4 linked regions of the Arabidopsis thaliana genome follow. The protein of the gene in region 2 interacts with the protein of the main gene of each other region in a pairwise test. Each region holds a gene or a part of one and is shown on either strand. Other genes may lie near its edges.

What was found.
Region 1: the proteins of MAF1 (region 2) and AGL97 interact in a two-hybrid assay, tested with the Arabidopsis thaliana proteins (one large-scale study listed by BioGRID).
Region 3: the proteins of MAF1 (region 2) and GBF4 interact in a two-hybrid assay, tested with the Arabidopsis thaliana proteins (one large-scale study listed by BioGRID).
Region 4: the proteins of MAF1 (region 2) and AT5G03510 interact in a two-hybrid assay, tested with the Arabidopsis thaliana proteins (one large-scale study listed by BioGRID).

Annotation. Positions count from the first base shown.
Region 1 is NC_003070.9:17,231,210-17,235,087, forward strand, and holds AGL97 (AGAMOUS-like 97), read right to left. Parts: upstream 1,743-3,878; 5' UTR 1,727-1,742; coding exon 926-1,726; downstream 1-925. UniProt on the Arabidopsis thaliana protein: Putative transcription factor.
Region 2 is NC_003070.9:28,953,481-28,961,194, reverse strand, and holds MAF1 (K-box region and MADS-box transcription factor family protein), read right to left. Parts: upstream 5,674-7,714; 5' UTR 5,517-5,673; coding exon 5,332-5,516; exon of another isoform or gene 2,885-5,331; coding exon of another isoform or gene 2,862-2,884; coding exon 2,804-2,861; intron 2,740-2,803; coding exon of another isoform or gene 2,694-2,739; intron 2,594-2,693; coding exon 2,351-2,593; intron 2,243-2,350; coding exon 2,201-2,242; coding exon of another isoform or gene 2,141-2,200; exon of another isoform or gene 2,045-2,140; coding exon of another isoform or gene 2,033-2,044; exon of another isoform or gene 1,866-2,032; coding exon 1,824-1,865; coding exon of another isoform or gene 1,782-1,823; exon of another isoform or gene 1,618-1,781; coding exon of another isoform or gene 1,585-1,617; exon of another isoform or gene 1,452-1,584; coding exon 1,350-1,451; 3' UTR 1,084-1,349; downstream 1-1,083. Other genes in the region: AT1G77090 (thylakoid lumenal protein (Mog1/PsbP/DUF1795-like photosystem II reaction center PsbP family protein)), read left to right, coding at 1-104, 222-449, 555-619. UniProt on the Arabidopsis thaliana protein: Probable transcription factor involved in the negative regulation of flowering time in both long and short days, probably through the photoperiodic and vernalization pathways. Prevents premature flowering.
Region 3 is NC_003070.9:1,015,971-1,020,354, reverse strand, and holds GBF4 (G-box binding factor 4), read right to left. Parts: upstream 2,256-4,384; 5' UTR 2,119-2,255; coding exon 1,306-2,118; 3' UTR 1,108-1,305; downstream 1-1,107. Other genes in the region: PCS2 (phytochelatin synthase 2), read left to right, coding at 1-168, 263-449, 576-751, 961-1,044; AT1G03960 (Calcium-binding EF hand family protein), read right to left, coding at 2,883-3,023, 3,172-3,297, 3,404-3,560, 3,906-4,015, 4,129-4,276. UniProt on the Arabidopsis thaliana protein: Binds to the G-box motif (5'-CCACGTGG-3') of the rbcS-1A gene promoter. G-box and G-box-like motifs are cis-acting elements defined in promoters of certain plant genes which are regulated by such diverse stimuli as light-induction or hormone control.
Region 4 is NC_003076.8:878,107-882,355, reverse strand, and holds AT5G03510 (C2H2-type zinc finger family protein), read right to left. Parts: upstream 2,209-4,249; 5' UTR 2,004-2,208; coding exon 1,125-2,003; 3' UTR 1,009-1,124; downstream 1-1,008.

The sequences.
Region 1 (3,878 bases), about 12 Mb from region 2:
AAAATTAGCAAGTAAAATAAATTAATAATGGTAGAGCATGAACAACTAACTCAAGTATGTATACTTACAATGTCATGCTCGGAAGCACCGCTAGGATTCTTGTTTTCAATCTGGTTACACATCCTCTTAGCTTGGAGACAGCAGAAAGAATCGTTGTCATTCGAGTTTGTAAAGATCTTTTTGGTCTTGGTTGACTATGAAAGATCTCAGATTTTGCAATTGTGGCTGGACCAACACGTTTATGGAGTAAGAAAGTGTTACATGATATTATAACTACTTGTATCATAATGCATAATATGACATAGAGGATGAACGTGATTTTGATGCAAGTATTGAAGAAAGAGCCGAGGTCCCAACTCTAGAAGATGAAACGGCGGGAGACGATCGATGATGGTCGATTTCAAGAATTTTTAGCTCGACACAGGAAAATCAAAGACCGTGAAGCTCATATTAAACTTCGAAATGCATTAATTGAACACTTGTGGTCCGTATATACTAATTCTGAGAATTAGTACAATGTAATTTTTTTTTGTTATTTTCAATTTATCGATTGTAATCTTATATTAATTAAGTTAAAATAATTTAGTTATGAAATATGTTATGTATATCAAACTATTAAAAAAATAAAGAAAATCTTAAGTTTAATAATATTATAATAAAAAGTAATATTTTTAGTGTGAAATTGGTGTTATGGTTGGAGATGATAAAACAATTGAAACACCAAAATATCAAATTTGGTGTTAAAATTTGGTGTATTGTGGTTGGGGATGCTCTTATGTTTTGGTTAGATATACGAAAATATCACGCAGATCAAATAAAGTCATAAGCTGATAAAAGACATACAAAGATATACTAAACCGAAGCAATACTTAAATCAAGGATCCAATTTCAACATAAACACAAATTGTCACCATAGAGGCATGCATCAGACATCATCCATCTTTAAATTCATGGATAAAGCTTCAGAGCTTGTCAAATACTCAATGATTTGATCGAGATCATCAAAATCTTCATTGCACTCATCCAAGTTTCCAAGTAAACCGTTGTTGTTGCTATTGTCAGAAACCGCTAGGGTTTGCTCTTCCGTGTTCCCTTCAGAATTCACAGTTACATCATCCATCTCCAAATTCACCGATAAAAATTCAGAGTTTGTCACCGTATCGAAGATTTGATCGAGATCATCAAAATCTTCATTGCACTCATCCAAGTTTCCAAGTAAACCGTTGTTGTTACTATTGTCAGAAACCGCTAGGGTTTGCTCTTCCGTGTTAAACCCATCGAAATTCACAGTTACATAATCTTGAATGCAAACCCTTGCAGAACACGGCTGATGAATTAGGGTTTGCGTTTGATGATCTCTTTGCTTCTCCAACTCCTTGAGATCTCGCAACATAGTCGACATTGAATCCATCGCCTCTCTCAACTCCTCCAGATTCTCTGATTTTAGAAGACTCTCATCTTCCCACCAAAACCTTTCATCACAAGGACGCTGATTGGCGAGAAAAGCAGCGACGACATTATCAACAGAGGAGTGGCCAAAACTGTAGAAAGCGGCGTTGGAATTAGAAGAAACAGGAGTCGCTATGATCGCAATCTCTGCGTCCGAGAGAAGACAAAGTTCAGAAGCTTTGCTATACAGACCCTTACGACGTTTGGAGAATGAAACCGCTCGTGGATTTTTGTTCTGTATCTTCTCTATAGCAATCTTCCTCTTCACGCCACCCATTCTGTTTTTTTTCTCAGTTTCACAAACAAAAGAGAACGAGACAAGACTTGAGAGTTTTGTGTGCTGCCGCTTGTTGCGAAAGAAGAATATGATAATGGACTCACTCTCGTTCTAATCAGATAGATATATATATAGACTTAGTAGCCCTAACTCGTTTTCTAATTAATCCATGTTATTTCCTTTTTCTGATAATTGCTAATCAGTAATTAAACGACTAAATAAACTTGTTTTCCTTTTTTGAAAGTAATTAGTACACAAAACCACCTGAAACAACATCGATTTTGATTTCCTTTTTTACTGATAATACCCTAATCGGTAATTAAACGAAAAATTAAAACTGTTTCCTTTTCTAAAAGTAAATTACTCAAAACCATCTAATACAAACAAAGACCGGTTTAGTTAAACCGAATCTGTATTTAGTGGAATTTTTGGTTTAGTCGGTGAATTTGTTTACTACTGATTGTCTAATAAGCGAAGGAGGACGAGTAAACCAACATGCAAATTCTTCCTTTAACCGGTTTGGTCAACGGTCAATAAAATAAGACCGTTATGAAGGGTAAAAGCGTCAATACAACAAAATATTTAGGAGCCTCTCTTCTTCTCTTTGTGACCGTTACGAATCCAAAAACCAAAATTGCAAACTTTGTGAGGAAGAAGAAGACGACACAGTATTGAAGAATACAATCTCAAACCCTAGTATGGAATCTCTGTTTTATGCTGGTGAATCAATGTCCGATACACAACAAAAACTCAAGCTTTTGGTTGATAATGGTGAATTGGTGATTACGGATTCGGAAGAGGATCTAGATATGGAGATTACGAGAATCTGTTGGAATTGAGTATCCTAAACTAAATCCTACAAGAATAACAAGCTTGGTGAGAAGAAGAAGATGAAGAACAAAGGAAGAAGCAACGGAAGAAGAAGACGATGGCGGAGAAGAGACGTCGTGAAGAGAGGAGTCAAAGGAAGAGAAGAAAGTCAACAAACCAAATGGGTTTGTGTTTTGTGTGTTGGGTCATAGGTAATGAGATAAGGCCCATACGAATAAGTGTTTTGTACAAGTTGTCTAGTTAAGGTCCAACAAGAAGAGGTTGTGACAACTAAAGTAAACTAAGAGAGTGAATTAAGGTGTTGGAGTTCCAACATAGTAGAGTGGATGATGTAAGTCTTAGGACAATGATGTGGTCTAGAGTCTAAGTGTGTGTAGTCTACCAAGTGGAGCAAAACCACTATATGTATGTGTTGTTTGTGTTGTGTAAGAGTATCCAAGAATATTATCAAAGTAGAAGATTAAAAGAAAATAGTTTTTGTTCTTTCTCTCTAAAGACAATGAAACCGTAAAGGAGTGTGAGAAATAGAGAGATTGTGAGAATTACAACAGAATCAAAGATTCGTATGGAAGATTCTGAAAGAAGAACAAGTGAGATTTGGAAGAAGAAATCAGGGTTTTGCTGGAGAAGAATCTTGTATCAATTAGAAACATATAAGTACTGATTCTTCTGTGATCAAAACATGGCTACAGGTTTGTTGAAGACTTCTTCTGTGACATCCTCAGCATTGAAGACTTGTTTAAGAAACTTGATTTTTGAGAAGTTAAAAGGTAGAGACTTCTTGAAGAAACAAGCTCACAGCCATAAATATTCTGGCAAAATCCACATTGTTCATCTTTGTTATTAAGCATTATGTTTTCTTCTCTGTGGCCTTTGTGGATCCTTCTAAGAGACTACATTATTGAGATTTCCAGAGCTACTTTTGTTTTGTAGGTTTAATATTCTGATGTATACATATATGACATTGTGTTGTAATTCTCACATATCTAACCACTTTAGTTAGATCTCTTGCTCTCTTGTCTCTCACACAGATTTTATTCTTTGTTCTAGAGAGACACAAAAGCGTTTTCCTCCAAAGACTACATTGTTAATTACTTGGTTACTCTTACACAACACAAGGACACACATACATAAACTACTTCTACTTGAGACACACACACACTTGCACACTTGCACTTAGACCTAATGATGGCTCTTACACAAGACCTACTTCTACATACATTGGAACTCTCACTCCTTGATTCACTCTTCTACTCTAACTTAGACTTACAACACAACACTCTTTAACTAAACATACTTGGGCCTAATTCATCTTCAGCCC
Region 2 (7,714 bases):
ATCGATCGCTGATCTTGGTGGCACCGAGATTGACTTGAGATTTGCTAGTCCTAAAGAAGGCCGTTTGTCTGTTATTGTAGCTCCTGTTCTTAGATTTGCAGATAGTAAGTTGTCTCTGCTATTAAAGATTCATCAACTTTACTCTTTTGAGTTATATAGGCAATGCAATCTTGTCTATTTGTACTCGTAGATTGATTGATTTGTGTGTTCCACTTATACAGACCTCGGGGACGATGTTAAGATTGAAAATATTGGACAACCAGCGAAGGTGATTAACGCGTTTGGACCAGAAGTTATTGGAGAAAACGTAGAAGGGAAGGTGTTAAGTTCCAATGTTGCAGAACACGATGGTAGACTCTATTACCAATTCGAGCTAGAGCCGCCTCATGTACTGATAACTGCAACAGCTGCCGGAAACCGCCTTTACTTGTTCAGTGTCACCGGAAACGGTAAGGCAAAACCTCTCTTCTAGTCAGAGATTTAAAGACAGAGCAAACACCTTTTGTTTGGTTTGTACACATAGTTAATTGCTCTGCTTATGTTTGATTCTATAGGTCTTCAATGGAAGAGACACTACAAGGATCTGAAGAGGATAGCTAGTTCATTCCGCATTGTTTAGACTTTAGAACTTTTTTGGATATATCAGATCTTCAACAAGTTACTCAAGTGTTTCTCAAGACTAAGAACACAAAGAGCGGTACATAAATGTGTATTTGTAAAAAGTTGAGAATCCTGTAATATTATACTAAACAACATACGAGCAGTGAGTTTGGCATACGGTTGTATGGATCTGGATTCATCAGAAAGAACCAAAACATGAAACAGAGTTCAAAAGCTGGCTTTTTTGAGTTCTTCAAAAACACAAATAATAAAACTTGGAAAAGGTGAAAAATATCTTATATAGTTTGGAGCTCTCAAAAACAGAATCACTAAACTTGGAAAAAAGAGCAAAATATCTGATATGGTTTTGATCAAATTAAAAGAGATGCAACTAAATAACTTTGCCACGTAATGTAAGACAAATAATCAAATAATTAAAGTTATAAAAAAAAAAAGTAAAAAAAAAAAGAAATAAGAAGGTCTAGGGTTCTTCACGCTGAAGAAAGAAAGCACAACTTTAAAAATCCAATCCGTACATTCAGACACAAACACACAAACTCTGATCTTGTCTCCGAAGGAGGTACAACACTGATCCATACTTTCTCGTTTTCTTTTTGACCTTAAATTCCACACTAGAGGAAGATAAAAGGTTTGAGATTACACAGCTTTTTATAATATACAAATTTATTCTCTTAATTATGAATCAGGCTTTGAGTTTAAGGTGAAAACTCAGCCGTTGATGATGGTGGCTAATTGAGCAGCGGGAGAGTCTCCGGTATTTTGTTGCCGGAGCTACTTCCCGGAAACATTCCTCTCTCATCATCTGTTGCCAGCAACGTATTCTTTCCCATCTGTAAGAAACTTTCTTACATTTCTTTTTTTTCTACAGCTACTAAACATTGCAAGAAATTAATCTATCTTGTAGAAAGCATTTTTTTTATTTGCAAATTTCACAAATTAAAAATACCGGGTTTTGAGTATCTTTCATCGGTGAGACATACCTTTCTTCTCTGACAGCTACTAAATTAACAAGAAAGATAGATTTTAAAAGCATTTTGTTATCACTTATCACATATTTAGGGTTTCACTATAATTGTCTAGTATCCATCAAAGTCCTTCAACTTTTAGTTTTCATGTACGTGTATATGTGTATCTCTCTATAACGGGGACGTATAAAGTGATTAATTAGCTTCAAGAGCAGAAGATATTGTGGTCATTGTTACCTGGCTAGCCAGAACCTGGTTCTCTTCTCTCAGCAATTTCTCCTGTTTGGAAAAGATCATAAGGTCATTAGTTTCTAACAACTTCTATAGCTATTTCCAAACATGTTTCCTTCTCGAAACATAAATCATCCTCATCCAAATTCGACACTTTATGAGGGAAAGGTTGGATTTGATCAAGAGTTTAAAACTGCTTGTTTTTTTAATTCTCATTAGGGTTTCACCTGAATGAAGCCAATACTAAATCAGGAACTAAGACAAGACCAAAAGATATATATATATATATATAGTAATCTGTAGACTCAGCAGGTTAATAGAATTCAAGAATCATCATAGCCTAGAATATGGCCTTTATCGAAAATAAAAACCAAAGCACTAACCTTTTCTTTAAGGGACTCGATATACTCCATCATCAGTTCTGCCTATAACAAGACATTAAGATTTATGTCAAAAGATTGTTCTAGGATAACTAACTAAAAAGAAGGTTTTGTGGAGTAATTGGTTGAATCACTTAGTAGCAGCACATATACCTTCCTAGCTCTACTTACGGACAGAGCAGTCTCAAGTTGTTCCTCCAGAGAAATTAGAGAATCTACACTTACATTATCGACATTTGGTTCTTCAAGCTTGCTGTATTCACAAGTAGACAAAAGAAAAAAAACATTTTTTTTATCAGAAGAAGAGGGGAGAAAAATGTGTCGTACTGCTAACCTTTGGACTGTTTCTAGTAACTCCTTGTGTGGAAGATAATTCTGAATTTTTTCTTCAAGATCCTGCACATGAAGAAAAGGAATGGTCAGAAAGATTGTGAAGTTCTTGTATTTTCCAGTAGACACAATAACTGTAACTCTAGAGAATTAAGTTCGGTGTTACGAGTTCAAAACATTGAGGTTTCTCCGGCTTGAACAGCGCTTCTATCCTTCATAACACCAAAAACCGCATCCAGAAGAATATTAGAATGACGTTCTTAGCTAATTACTTACTAAGGCTCTAAGTTCATCAGCATGTTGTATTTCATAACGATCAATGATCTTGGAAATGCTGGAGATAAAACAAAAATGCATTAGAACAATAATTTATGCAAAAACCATTTCAAAACTAAGAATCAGATACTGCATCAATAGAGGCCATTATTTAGAGAGAATGCACCAAAGTGAAAGAAAGCTTATATAATATGTTACATTTGCAACAATTTCTGTTACTAACCAACAGTTTTTGATAATCATCTTTACTTAACCAGGCATCTATATATAAAAATGATAGTAAGTATAAAAGCATTAAAAAAAACAATGTAAGTTACTATTAGTTACCCTATTTTTGAAGTTACTGCTTTAGATATATGTGTTCAAAATGTTTTATACTTCAAATGTAAATCTGAAACTCTGATCATCTGGTGCTCTAAAATTAAAATCTGAATTTACAATTTCAACTTTAAGATCCTGTTATATATCAACTTCGCAGCCAATATTGTCATTGTTTCGACTTCAAAAGGTTTTAGAAACTAAGTGCACACATTTTTAACTCATCCCCATGAGTTCGATTATCTACCTTCTTTTTCTTATCAAGGCTAAATCAGTTTTATAAAGAAGCTCTATTTTTGGTTCTTCAAAAAACTAATATCATGCAAAATGTATGATTGTATAGATTATAAATCACATCCTTCCAAAAGACAAAATCTTGATGAAATTCATGTTCATTTTAAGGGAAAATTTTCAAGAATTCAATGCAATCAGTTTATATTTTGACTAGTCAATCCAAGTTTTAGTTATTGACGCTTTCACACATAACGTCAAACGAATCGGAATACTGAAACCAAAAACCTTTGGCTAAATGATATCATGATACTCCAAAAAGGATAAACCAAGAAACTGATTTAGCATTTCCGGGAAGGTCATGACAGCTCTAATCCTATATATGTGTTGTCCATGATCTATTAATGCTATGATATGAATAGAGACTGGCTTCAAATTCACTTCAGTTATTACACGTTCTTATCTTTTTAGTAACATCTCAAGTTGTGACTTAGTAATTTTACATCAATCACAAAAAGAAGAAAAAATGAACAATTAGTAAGACGCATAAGACGACTAATCTCAACTAAAAACACTTTGCATAGTGCCACTTTGTTAAGGTATAAGAACTAAATAAAGAAACTAGCTACAACTAGAGCTTGACTATTGTAAAATGGAGACAGATAGATACGGTTCCTAATACTTCGTCTATAGTCTGTGCATTTTGTTGGTTACAAATTTAACAAATTTGCTTTCATGATCAAGCATTTATGGAGTCAACATCAAGGAAATGAGAAGGAGCTGTATATATACACATACTGACAAGAGTTACCTTTCCATTTCCTACTTATCCATTGATGATTTTATCTTAGGTCTATTAGAAAAAAAAAACTCACTTTTAGTCGCATTCAAAGTATTCTAAAAGAGAAGTGGATGAGATTTTTCTAGATACAAAAGTTCATGGGGTTAAAAATATCCACGACAAATAACAGAAGACTATTAAAGTCATTGAACATTTGGTTGTAGTCTAGTGGTTTCTCCCAATTAGTAAAATTGGCGACCGATTTCTACTTAATGAACCTACTAGGCCACTGACATATATATGGTAGCAGTAAAATCAGTTATAGTTTGAGTTTCTTTAGCAAAGAAATCCAAACTACAACATCTTAGAGAGCAACAAAGAGTCACTCAGTAAGACATAATGTATCTTGTATGGTGTCATAAACACACAACAAATTACGATTAAAAGGGTTAAAATCGATATCCAATTAGTTAAGTAATGAAGAATGTGTGGCGAGTATCAATGTGGAAACTTATCCCAGCACTACAATAAACCATCAAAATCAACTAGATAAACCTTATTCCTTAAAGAGAATTACAAAAGAAAAGATCTACAATACATTTTGGATCAACATAAAGTACAATGTGTTAACCAATTTGAACCAAAGATATTCGATTAATGTTACCACTAACCCCAAATAATCTCTCAACAAAACTACTTGAAGTGCATTGCAATATTGAATATAATTACCAAATCTCAAAATTTGAACAATCTAAACATATTGTTTCTTATATGAAAAAACGAAGCTTCAAAGTGAACAACAGATGGAACTAGCAATACAAAGATTACTTAAACAACATCAAGAACGAATCACCACGTGTAGAAAAGTTTCTTGAATAACATGCAATATTAAATTTCGTCACAAATGAAGGTAAAAAAAGAGATAAAAATGATTTTAAAATGAAAAAAAAAAAAACACGAAAAAAAAAACACGAAACGAACATCAAGAACATATCTTGGCGATCAAAATGTTTAGTCTTAAATTAGGTTAAAGCTTACGCATCTGCTATCTTCATACAGAAAACAAGGAGAAAATCTCAGTTGATTTGATGGAATCAAAAAGCCCTAGATTTGAAGCTTCTATATGGAGAAAGTAATTAAACAAAGTAAAAAAGCACAAAAATCGAGTGAGACCCAGAAAAGGAAAGTATCTTCTTACTCGTCACCGGAGGAAGAGTCATAGAGTTTTCCGGAGGCAGATACGACGACAACAGCGACGGAGGATTCACAGAGAATCGAAAGTTGTCGAGCTTTGTCGATGAGACCATTGCGTCGTTTGGAGAAAGTGACTTGTCGACTGCTTTTGTTCTCGATTCGCTTGATCTCGATTTTTCTTCTTCCCATGGCTTCAAATCTCCGATAAGGGTTATGCCCTAATTTAATCCTAATCTCCGGAGACGCTCAATGCTTTTTGCTTTTTATTCTTTTTTCTTGGTTTTTTTTTTCCTCCAACTCGTTTTTTTTTTTGGTTAAACGAGATAGAGAAAATAATAGTATTAAGCGAAACGATTGCGTTTTGAAGCCACTAAGAGGCAAATTTTTAAGCTTGTCGTTGTTAAAGACTTTTTAATCCAGTCGGTTAGACCGGTCCGAGTCCGATCATCATCCCCACCGAACAGAAATTGGTTTTTAAGGTTTTCTCTTTTTATTTGGAGGGTTTAAAAGTTATTTTATCTCATTGGTTTTGATCGGAAAGTAGTGCTTATGAATCGGGTAACGGTTAATTCAAGGATTTCAGTTATTATTGACGTAATTATATTAAAGATTGATCGGATAATCAAAACTACAATGCAAACTTTCACTAAAATGGTTTTGAATTCAAATATTTTTAAATCGATAATTTTCAATACGTTTGACTATCACCAATTTATTAAAAGTGATTAGTAACTTGACCACTATCAGTGTAAGATAATTGGTATTGAAAACATTATATTATCTAAAACTAAGAGCATATTTTAAAATGTTTGTTTAATTTCTTTGTTTTCTGAATCCATCTTGTCTTGATGCATTGGGATATTCAGATAGCACCTCCCCGCTCCTATGATGGCTCTCCGAGCGATTTTGACCATTTCACCAACTAGAAAGCCTTATCAAAATCTTTGTGCTTTCTTCCGTCTCCAAGAGTAACCATTACTTTATCGAGTTAGGTCGTAGGTTCTGCCGTGGCTCATTCATACTACGTCTCAAAACTGAGTTAGGGATGGTAACTAATTTGGCTTCCCCATTTTCAATGTTTGTTCGCTTACGCTATAAAGGTGAACCAGAATCAGCCCACGACCCTAACCGGATTAAACCGACATTGTTCTTCTTCCCAATCTCGTTTCGGCCCAATATTAAACCAACGAGCCAATACTCCCTTAAACGATTATTTGGGGCAAAAAGACTCTCAACTCTATTCACATGCCCATTAAAGGCCCGATATAATTTCACCGTCCAAAACTACAAATTCGTTTCGGCTTGCTTCATTTCTCAGCTTCTGGTTAATGGGTGGTAAATGATAGCTCTAAGAATAAAGGCTTTTCTCTACTACATAAGAAAAAAAAAAAGAGAAAAAAAGAAATAGCCCATCTCTACTTGTCCCTTTTATTGGCCTGATTTAGCTTATTCAAAAATAAGAAAAGAAATGGGTTTGTTAATAATAAATCAGTAATACTAATCTAACGGCTAATTGTCAAATCGTTGAGAAGACAGTCGAACGGTAAGTTTAATTTTAAAAAGATCAACATTATAGCCGTTGGTGAAGATTGCCAACAAGCCCTATAAATACTTCCACTAAACTTTTTTACAGCCATCCAAGTGGACCAATCTTTTTTATTTGGCTAAAATGTCAATTGAATTCAGATGGTATAGTTGCACACAAGAAAAATAAAAAATAAAAAAAATCAGATGGTATCAACAGTTTACATATTCACCCTTAATCAAAACGGAAAAAGAGAGCATAAAGCCATAAAGTAAAATTCAGTCTAAAAAGCTGTAACAATTTCTTAAATACAAACGACCCAATTTGTTGAGATGTGAAAAAGGCAAAAACAAGTCACTACATGAAATTGGATGTTGTAGGCCCAATTTGTTGAGATAGTAAAACCGAATCATTTTTTATCAAGCATTAGGTTGGAAATTGGTTGGCCCATAGAGTATGTAAAATCAAAGTAGAAATGGAGAAAAAGTGAAAAACAATGAAATCTTTCTTGTTTATTTTGATTTTTCTCAAAATTTACATCTTTTCGATTGTTATCATCTTATAGGTCTTTTGCAACTCTCTTGCCTTTGTCGTGCTTGTTCTGGTGGAGAAAGGAGTCGTTGTTTTGTGGGCTCTTGTGTTATGTTGTGAAATAGGTTTGGTGACATAAAGGCCCATTTCTATGATGAGCTTAAGCTAACCAAATTATACATTTATTGTTAGATTGCCTCTAACATTTTCACAATACCTTGTGGTTTGAGTCTTTGAGATACTGTTACCATAAGATAAGACCGAGATATAATAACCACGTGCTCTCTATTAAAATCCCAAGCGTGTGGGTCAGAGTCTAACTCGATTAGAG
Region 3 (4,384 bases), about 28 Mb from region 2:
CTTGTAAGCTCACAACATGTTGATACTATTGAAAGAATCTTATATGTTGTATTCAAGTCACTTCCAGCAAATTTCAACCAATTTATCAAATGGATGGCTGAGATTCGAAGAACAGAGGATGTAAATCAAAATCTTAGCTCAGAAGAGAAATCAAGGCTCAAATTAAAGGTATTATCTTGTCCATTTGCTTCTGAACTTTAGTTTTCCATGTTTATATTCCATCAGTTTATTCATCACTGTTCTATGGTTCGTTTTGCTGTAGCAAGAGTTACTGAAACAAGTGCAAGAAACTAAACTGTTCAAGCATGTGGATAAGTTTCTCTCCTCTGTGTACGAAGACAATCTGCCATATGTTGCTGCTAAGGTTTATTGTGACGGAGATGAAATCTTATCGGGATATGAATCAGATGAATCCTGTTGTAAGGAAACTTGTGTCAAATGTATCAAAGGTATGTTTGTTCTTACATTCTGGTTATCTTTCTAAGCGCTTCAGAAACCTTGGCTTGAAGTTAGTAGTGTGCAAAGTTCTAATCAAGAAATCACTTTTTTCTTTGAATTTCTTGTTTTACATCAAGGTCTTGGTGAGGAGAAAGTGACAGTGGTAGCTTACCCATCCGGGAACGATGTGTTCACTGCTCTTCTGTTGGCTTTACCTCCACAGACGTGGTCAGGTATCAAAGACCAGTCACTTTTGCAAGAAATGAAACAGCTCATTTCCATGGTTAGCCACCCGACTTTGCTTCAACAAGAGGTACATAACTAAGCCAACTCTTCACTTGGAGTCTGAGTTATATATCTTCTAATTCTTAGGATAAGAAACAGAAATGAAACTCAGTTATATAGTCTGAGGATTACCTTCTGAAGCTGACTCTTTTTTAAGGCTGAACTCCAGAATCCATTAGATGAGAAATATGTAGTAAAGTCAGCTAAGTTAAATCGTTTTCCTTTGGTGGGTTACAGGTTTTGCATCTACGACGCCAACTTGAGATGCTAAAACGATGCCAGGAGAATAAAGAAGACGAAGAACTCTCTGCTCCTGCCTAATCAAACACAACCAACCACTTTCTAATTTGAATCGACCAACAAAATTGTTAGGGAGAAAAAGAATTTATCCCATCTAGTCTGGTCCATAGATATCTTATAAATCAGCAAAAAGCTATGTATTATCCATTACATCCCTTAGATACATTACAGGTAACTAAGTACTAACCATATCACCATCACTTTACTATATAGATTATAATATAGTAATCAAGCCCATATGTTTTTATTTTTTTTACATACAAAAGTTTTTTTTACCACACTTCACCATTCCAAGGAATGGCTCCTGCTTAAGGGCCTCGACGGTGGCCTTGGTTTCTCATCGACCGGAATCAGAACCTCCATGAGCTTCTTGTATCTCTCTTTAGTGCTCTCTTCAATCTCCTTCAAAAGCTGCTCATTCTCCTCCTCTAACTTGGCAGCCAAAGTCTCTAACTCAACCTGATAAGCCTGTTTCCTCTCTCGAGACCTAGCAGCGGATTCACGGTTCTTGATCATCCTCTTCTGTCTCTGAGCTGCAGCTTTATCCATTGCCTCCATCATCACTCTCCCTCTCTTTCCTCTCGTTACTCCTCCACCCATTGATCCTTCAACCATCTGGAACGAACTGTGTCGCTGCATCGGAAAATCAAATGTATAGCTACCGTCGTTGTTGAGTCTCTCCGTTGGAATCTTCACATCGATTTCATCTGAAGCTCCCTCGTCCATTTCTGCTTTCGCTAAGAAATCCTCAAGTGTCATTATATCTTCTGGTTCTTCTTCCTTCATCATGATCGTCTTTTGCTCTCCAGATACAATCTCTTTCCAAACATCGTCAACACTCTTTCCGTTGTTAACGCTGTTCCGATCTCCGATACTCCGATCAACATCAATCGCCATCTCGAAGGGCTTTGAATCAGACGCGAAAGTGTAATCGTTGACTCCTCCGCCGTAAGCGAAACTGATTCTGGAGTGATCGGCGTGAGGATTTGGTCGGAGATGGTGCGATGATCTTATAGAAGGGGAAGATGAAGCAGAAGAAGAATTACGGCGAGACAAGTCGGAATTGGAAGAAGACATCAACTTGAAGGACGCCATTTCCGGAGCTCACTGGAATTGGAACGAATTTTTATCTATCTGGGTTTTGTCAAAGAGAAAGAACAATCGGAAATGGTGGATTTTCTTCGAACCAGAGATCGAGAGAGATCTTTCTAGGGTTATCTCTAGTGTTTTGCAATGTAACCACGCGCTTACTCTCTATATACAAGTTTAATTAACTAATCACGCGCACATTAAACGCGTGACTTGCACCTTCTATCAACTATACTATAAGGAGATGTTTTTTCTTTTCTTTTTAATTAAGAAAAAAGATTTACTATTCAGATTTCTTTCTCTTTTTTTTTTTATGAAAAAGATATCAGTGCAACTAAAGAGATTTACAATTCAGATTTCTTTCTGAAAATATATTCGTGTGACAGTAAAGACTAAAAGAGTTTAACAATTCAGATTTATGAGTACATTCTGAGTTGGACAATCCAACTGGTTATATGGACACTAGATGATGTAGAGGGAGAGAGGGCCCAACTTGATATAATCTTTATAATGAAACCAAAACAAAATTGCAAAAATTTCATGAATTTGGCTGAGACTCTTTTGGAAATGATGATGAAAGCGTCTGGTAACAACCAACAGTGACCTCCAATCTCTGATCATGGATCTCTCTCCAGGGAAAACCTCAAATCATAAGTCTCCTTATTTGGTTGGTTTCTGTAGTCAAGATCGGCTTTCGACTCAATAAATCACAGAATTTTATAAGCATTTGCATTTCCTATACACAAGCAGTGTGAACTTACCACTATGGACTAAAATGGAGGTTCGAGTGGTTCATCCCAGACATCTGCACTCCCATTTGAGACTTCATCTACATCTTCCTCCATTGACAATCTCGCATACTCTCTCTGAGCAAATCGATCCCACTCTGTCAAATTTGGATCTTCCCGTTCCTACAGCAATGAAAGAGAATTATACTTGTTCTAATTGCCTCAATCCGAACTACTACAAACTGCCTTTAGCAGTTAAAAGAAGTCATATTCTTTGTTATTTTTTTCCCTCTTGAGTGCTATAAAAACTCCACTGGTAAGCCAAACTTACCTGGCGAATGAGAAATGGGTCACGTGTTTCAAATGCCATGAACTTATTAAGGTTGAAGAGTATATTGAAAACGTTTGCTGAAAGTTTCGATCCTTTCAGATCCTGGAGGGTGATACAGTTCTCCTTCTGCAAGGACATCCACCATATAGATGATTCCAGTCAAATAAATGATAAATAACAAAAAAGCTCGGAAAAATCAAACAACCATGTTCTGGTTTGTAAAGTAACTAACCTCGGGTCCAATCATGTCAATTATTTGACATAGGATATCACTGAAAAGAACAGCTTCCTGGGTTATGCATTCCATGCGATGCAGCTGCTCTTCGAAGAAAAACTGCATTTCGTTTGAAGTGATTACCCCATTTCCATCCAAGTCTACGCATTTGAACCTGCACGGAAAATTTCAATCAGTGTCAAGTAAAATACACGGACTTGCAAAAATATTGAGTTTTGACATCCATAATAGATAGATGAGCATACTAGGCTATAAACTAGTATCAGATTGTTAGATTGTTAGTGCCCGAGTATAAACAAGGATCCTATGTTCATGAAAAAATGGTACCATACAATGATTACTAAATATATCTGAGGAAGAGGACTTGTTACAAGTAACAAGTCCTCAAGTCACTGGTTTTGACTCCGTTGTAGTATATATATCAAGATCTTGTGATCTAAACCAAGGGGCAACATTCATTAAGGAAAACCAATATCAACACGGAGGGGGAGATGTGTACCAATACTCAAGACTAGGCTCGGAAGACTTGTCTTCCTCAGCGAGAATGAAGTACACAAAATCTTCATAACTCATCTTCCCTTCAACTTTACTCGTAAACTTCCTTGGAATCTAAAAGAGAAACATAGCCACAAGACGCATGGAGATCAAATAAAAAGGATCACATCATACTATATAACTTAGCTTTTAAGAAGGTCTAGGCAGGAACAATTTTGGGAACCAACCTGTGAAAATATTCTATCAACAATCCTGTAGGTAAGGGCATTATTACCATATTTGATGAGATTGTCCTTATCAATAAAACAATCATGGTCACCATCAAGTTCCCAAAATTTGCAGTATATCACGTAGAAGTGCTCATAGGAGAAGTACCTGAAAATTAAAAGAAACGACATGATTGCAAATGGTAAAATCAGGCATAAGTTCTGTTACAGAAGCAATATGAAGGTATAAGCCAATACTCATATAGCTCTTCCATTT
Region 4 (4,249 bases), on a different chromosome or scaffold from region 2:
AGTTTGAGGGTACCACTCTCGTTTTCAATTTTATGTTCTGAGCTTTTCGATCGGAGCGATTATGGTTTTTCTGTCAACAATTTTTAGTGGAGATAAAAGGCATTATATATAATCCAATGTATTTGTAGAAGACATCGTTAATCACAGTATCACTTTTCCTATCAATCGTTTTCAAATGTCCTTTATTTCTATTTAAATGTTAGGAATATTCATTCGTTTTGTTAGTAGTAAGAAGTTGCACTTTCTCTACATATCATGTTCTTATTTTCAAAAGAAAGATATAGATGAGTCATTGAGTCATAAACTATATAAAGACATGACATGATCGATATAGAGATACCATTATACCATTAACAGTACGTAGCGTAGTAATAGCTCCTATTTCTAGAAGATGTTGTAGCATATATCATATCAATAAGTTTGTAACAGTTTACTGTTAGTTTCCCATACTACATAACATGATCATGAAGATTCGTTTGTTGCTACATGAATGTCTTGTGATATATGTCCAAAATCTCAAGACATCGGTCAGTATATTATCGTATTTTCTAGTGAAAAACACATTCGATAATAAAAAAATTCGATAGTATATAGTCGAAGCTAGGGATCAAATCACATCTACTGTATACTTCAACATTGGACTCTCAAAACACGCTTTAGATCCGATTTTTGAACGAGTCTTTGTAGATTATTATAGATGTAGTCTTTTGATTTACTCTAATGAAAATGATATATGTATTATTATATCAGAAAAGAATCTGAAAAAACGAAAAACCCCAAACGGAAGTGAAGTGTATCCAAAGGAGTTAGTGGCGGCTAACAAACGAAGTGACTTTATGCGAAAGTCATCGTCACATGCTTCTTCCGTTCTCCAAGGAACATCCTCAGCATCTTTCATCATTCTCCCAAAGTTAAGTATCACATACTTATATACTATTGTGTATATATTGATGATTATTAGAAATGTGCTAAATTATGGAGCAATGAGTAGTTTCAAAGAATGAAATAATTTGAAGTTAATTCAATCAATGTCAGATTACAAGAATGAATGGACAATAATAAGAGAAGGGTTAATGATTTAACATATCAATGTAATAAAAAAGTAATTACAAAGAACTACTTAATTAGTGATGACAATCAATCAAAGAATTTGACGCGGCCGTGAAGAGAAGAATCTGATCTTTGGATGCAAACGCGAATTTCGGTTTCTCGCAGCATCGTTCATCTTCGGGTGCTGGAAGATTCAGATCTAACTGGAGAAAGTTCTTTGGCCGTATAGATTCTTCATGGTGATGATGACTTGATGATGATATCGCTGTTTTGATTGCTGAAGTAGCGTTTGCGTTTATTGTTAAACCTCTATGTCTCCTCATATGTCCTCCTAAGGCTTGTCCTGAAGAAAACTCGGCCTTGCAGATTGAACATTCATGTGTTTTCTCCGGTTTCTTGCTACCATCACTACTAGTCACTTGTAGGGAAAGAAAGCTTCCTACGGCTCCAGCTTCCACTGTTTCAACCGTAGACGCAGACGCCGTTTTCTTCTCGACGCATTTGAAAACGCTAGCTCCAAGTTTTGGCTTCTTGTGACTAGCCCTGTGCCCTCCTAGCGCTTGGAACGAATGGAAGCTTTTATCACACGTTTTGCACTGGTAAACACCGTCTAGCCCTAACCCTAGAGAAGCCACCGGTTTCTTGTTGCTAAAGAAACCCATTCTCTGCATCGACAAATGATCGTCGCTGCTCTTTGCTTGATGTCCTTGCGACAACAAGATCAGACAATTCGCCATATCTTCGTCTTCATCGGTAGCTCCTTGGAATTCTACTTCACCAGCAGCTTCTTCTTCTCTTACCTCCACTGATGATCGTTCACCGCTACAAACGCTGGATACTGCAGCAGCGTTCATCATAAGAGGAGACGCAGAACGCTGACGTTTGGTGCGTTTGCCCTTGATGAGGAGAACAAGACGCGCGTGGTCTCCACTCTCCTCAAGAACACTTGTCATGATCCTCCGTTTTTTATTTGCTCTCTGTATTTCAAGAACACAAGAGGTCGTATATGTATATATGGAGAGAAGTATCAAAGAGTGTTTGGTGGGTTTGGTTTATATGTCTAAGTATTTATATATATTTGTATGTGATTGTATTTGTTTATACACACAATAGTATTGTGTGTATATATAATGTAATGGGTAAGAGAAAAGATGAGAAAAGAAGCAAACCCAAAATAACTTTTGGTGAAGGATTCCTTTCTGGAAGTTTTGGTTTGCAAGCCTGGAACCACTTGTTGTTCTCTTCTTGTTTTTATTTTTTTCCTTTCAATTTTTTTTAAATGATTTTCTCTTTTTTTGGTTAACTTTTGTTTTGCTTGTCTTATGAATCACATAAAAAAAAATACTAGTATTTTACTTATTAAATACTCATAAGCATCCTTATAATTTCAAAAGACACACATCATTATAGCTAAAGTAACAAAAATGTGGATTCAATGTCAACACTAATCTTAGAAGATGTTATTTTATTTTCTTTCTGAAAATGAAATTAAATCTGTGTTTTCTGTTCAAGAAGGTGTCATTCTACATATACCATTTTTTCTTATTAATAAAATGAACTACAATTTTGACACTTGGAATGTAATGTATTATATTAAGAAGAATCAAACTGGATTGCGTATTCTAAATATGCCACTCAATTTATTGATTTTTTTTCCTTTGATTTCACATTATCACTAACTAAAATCCTAAAACTTTATAAATAATTTTATATTGATGGCTTGAGTCATCCACAAGTAGTTTCAACACGAAACACAGTACCACAACACACACAATTCAAGCATATTATAAATTCCTGCAAACTTATTACGTTTTGTAACAAATTACATTAAAGATTTGAAACCAACTATTATATATAAAAGCTACTAAAGTACAAATTTAACTTGAAAATACGTCGAATTCTGTTTTTGTTTCTTAATACTACTAATCATTGCGGATATATGTACACTTAAGTTGCTGATTAAATAATTAAGTTAATTAATTGGAAAGTAAAAGGCAATCGAATTTTGGGGTCGAGCAGTTCATGTGCAGTTGAGCCAACCCACAATTACACAACACACAATTATGAATCATGATTCTAGTTATGTATACAATATTTAGTTATAATGATATTAGCTAAAACGAATTAAATATATAATATCACTCCCTATGTTTGCGCCTCTTTCTAAGAAACTTTGATTTTTATTTTGGTTATCCAATTATTTGATCAAACCATTATTAATCTTGTGATTAGCTAATAATATGTATTCGATGAAGTAACCTCCCTTATCGTAGTTTGTAACTGTAGTCTAGGTCTTTGTAGTATAGTATACTAATAAACTCGGTGACAGCAATTTATAAAATTCAAGAAACACATGTTTTTTTAATATTCATTCTACATAATGAGTTTCTTAGAGCTGGATTGATATCCAACTTTTACTCATTCAACTCTATACACATTAGTTGTCTTTGGCTCTCAATGATTATCTTTTGCTAACGTGTTACTATACATACAATAGATCATTAAGAAGAATATTTTTGAGTGTATTGTGAAGCTAGTATCATCACAATTTTAAAATGAATAAATCAGGAGGAATTGATTTAAGTCTTGGCGTCGAGGATTGTGTGTGTGAAAGAGAGATAGAGAATTGCTTGGCCGCCAAAAGAAGCCATTACTTGCCAACTAGCTAGCTTCACTACTCAACCTAAGCAAAGCATATACTTTATAAATAAATAAATAAAATCATAAACATAATTAGTCGTCACCCATCATACATTCATCATCACCATCCTAACAAAACCTTTTTTACAAGGCTTCTCAAAAACCGTTAAGTAGTTGTTGCAACTTGCAAGGATCACCTAAACAAATTATACCGAAACTTGCACAATTGAATTCCAATATTTTAAAAACATTTTTCTTTTGTCATTTGAAGCATATAAAATGGTTCTGAATTCTGATATAGGTGGGTGGAACAGAGTCTTCCCCCATATAGCAAATCCCTCAACGGCTCTAGAAATACGTTTTAAGCTTCACGAGGAATAAGAAGATTAGGAATATATGGGCTTAAAGCAGGCCTGAACTAAATTAAAGGCCCAACTAAAAGAGAGGAAACAAATCTCGATTTGCTTTCTCTGGTGAGCGTGTCTTCTTCCGATCGTCTTCTCCGGCTGCGTGAATTCTCCGCCGAGCCATCTCTCTGGCGAATCTCCAGTGAGTTCTA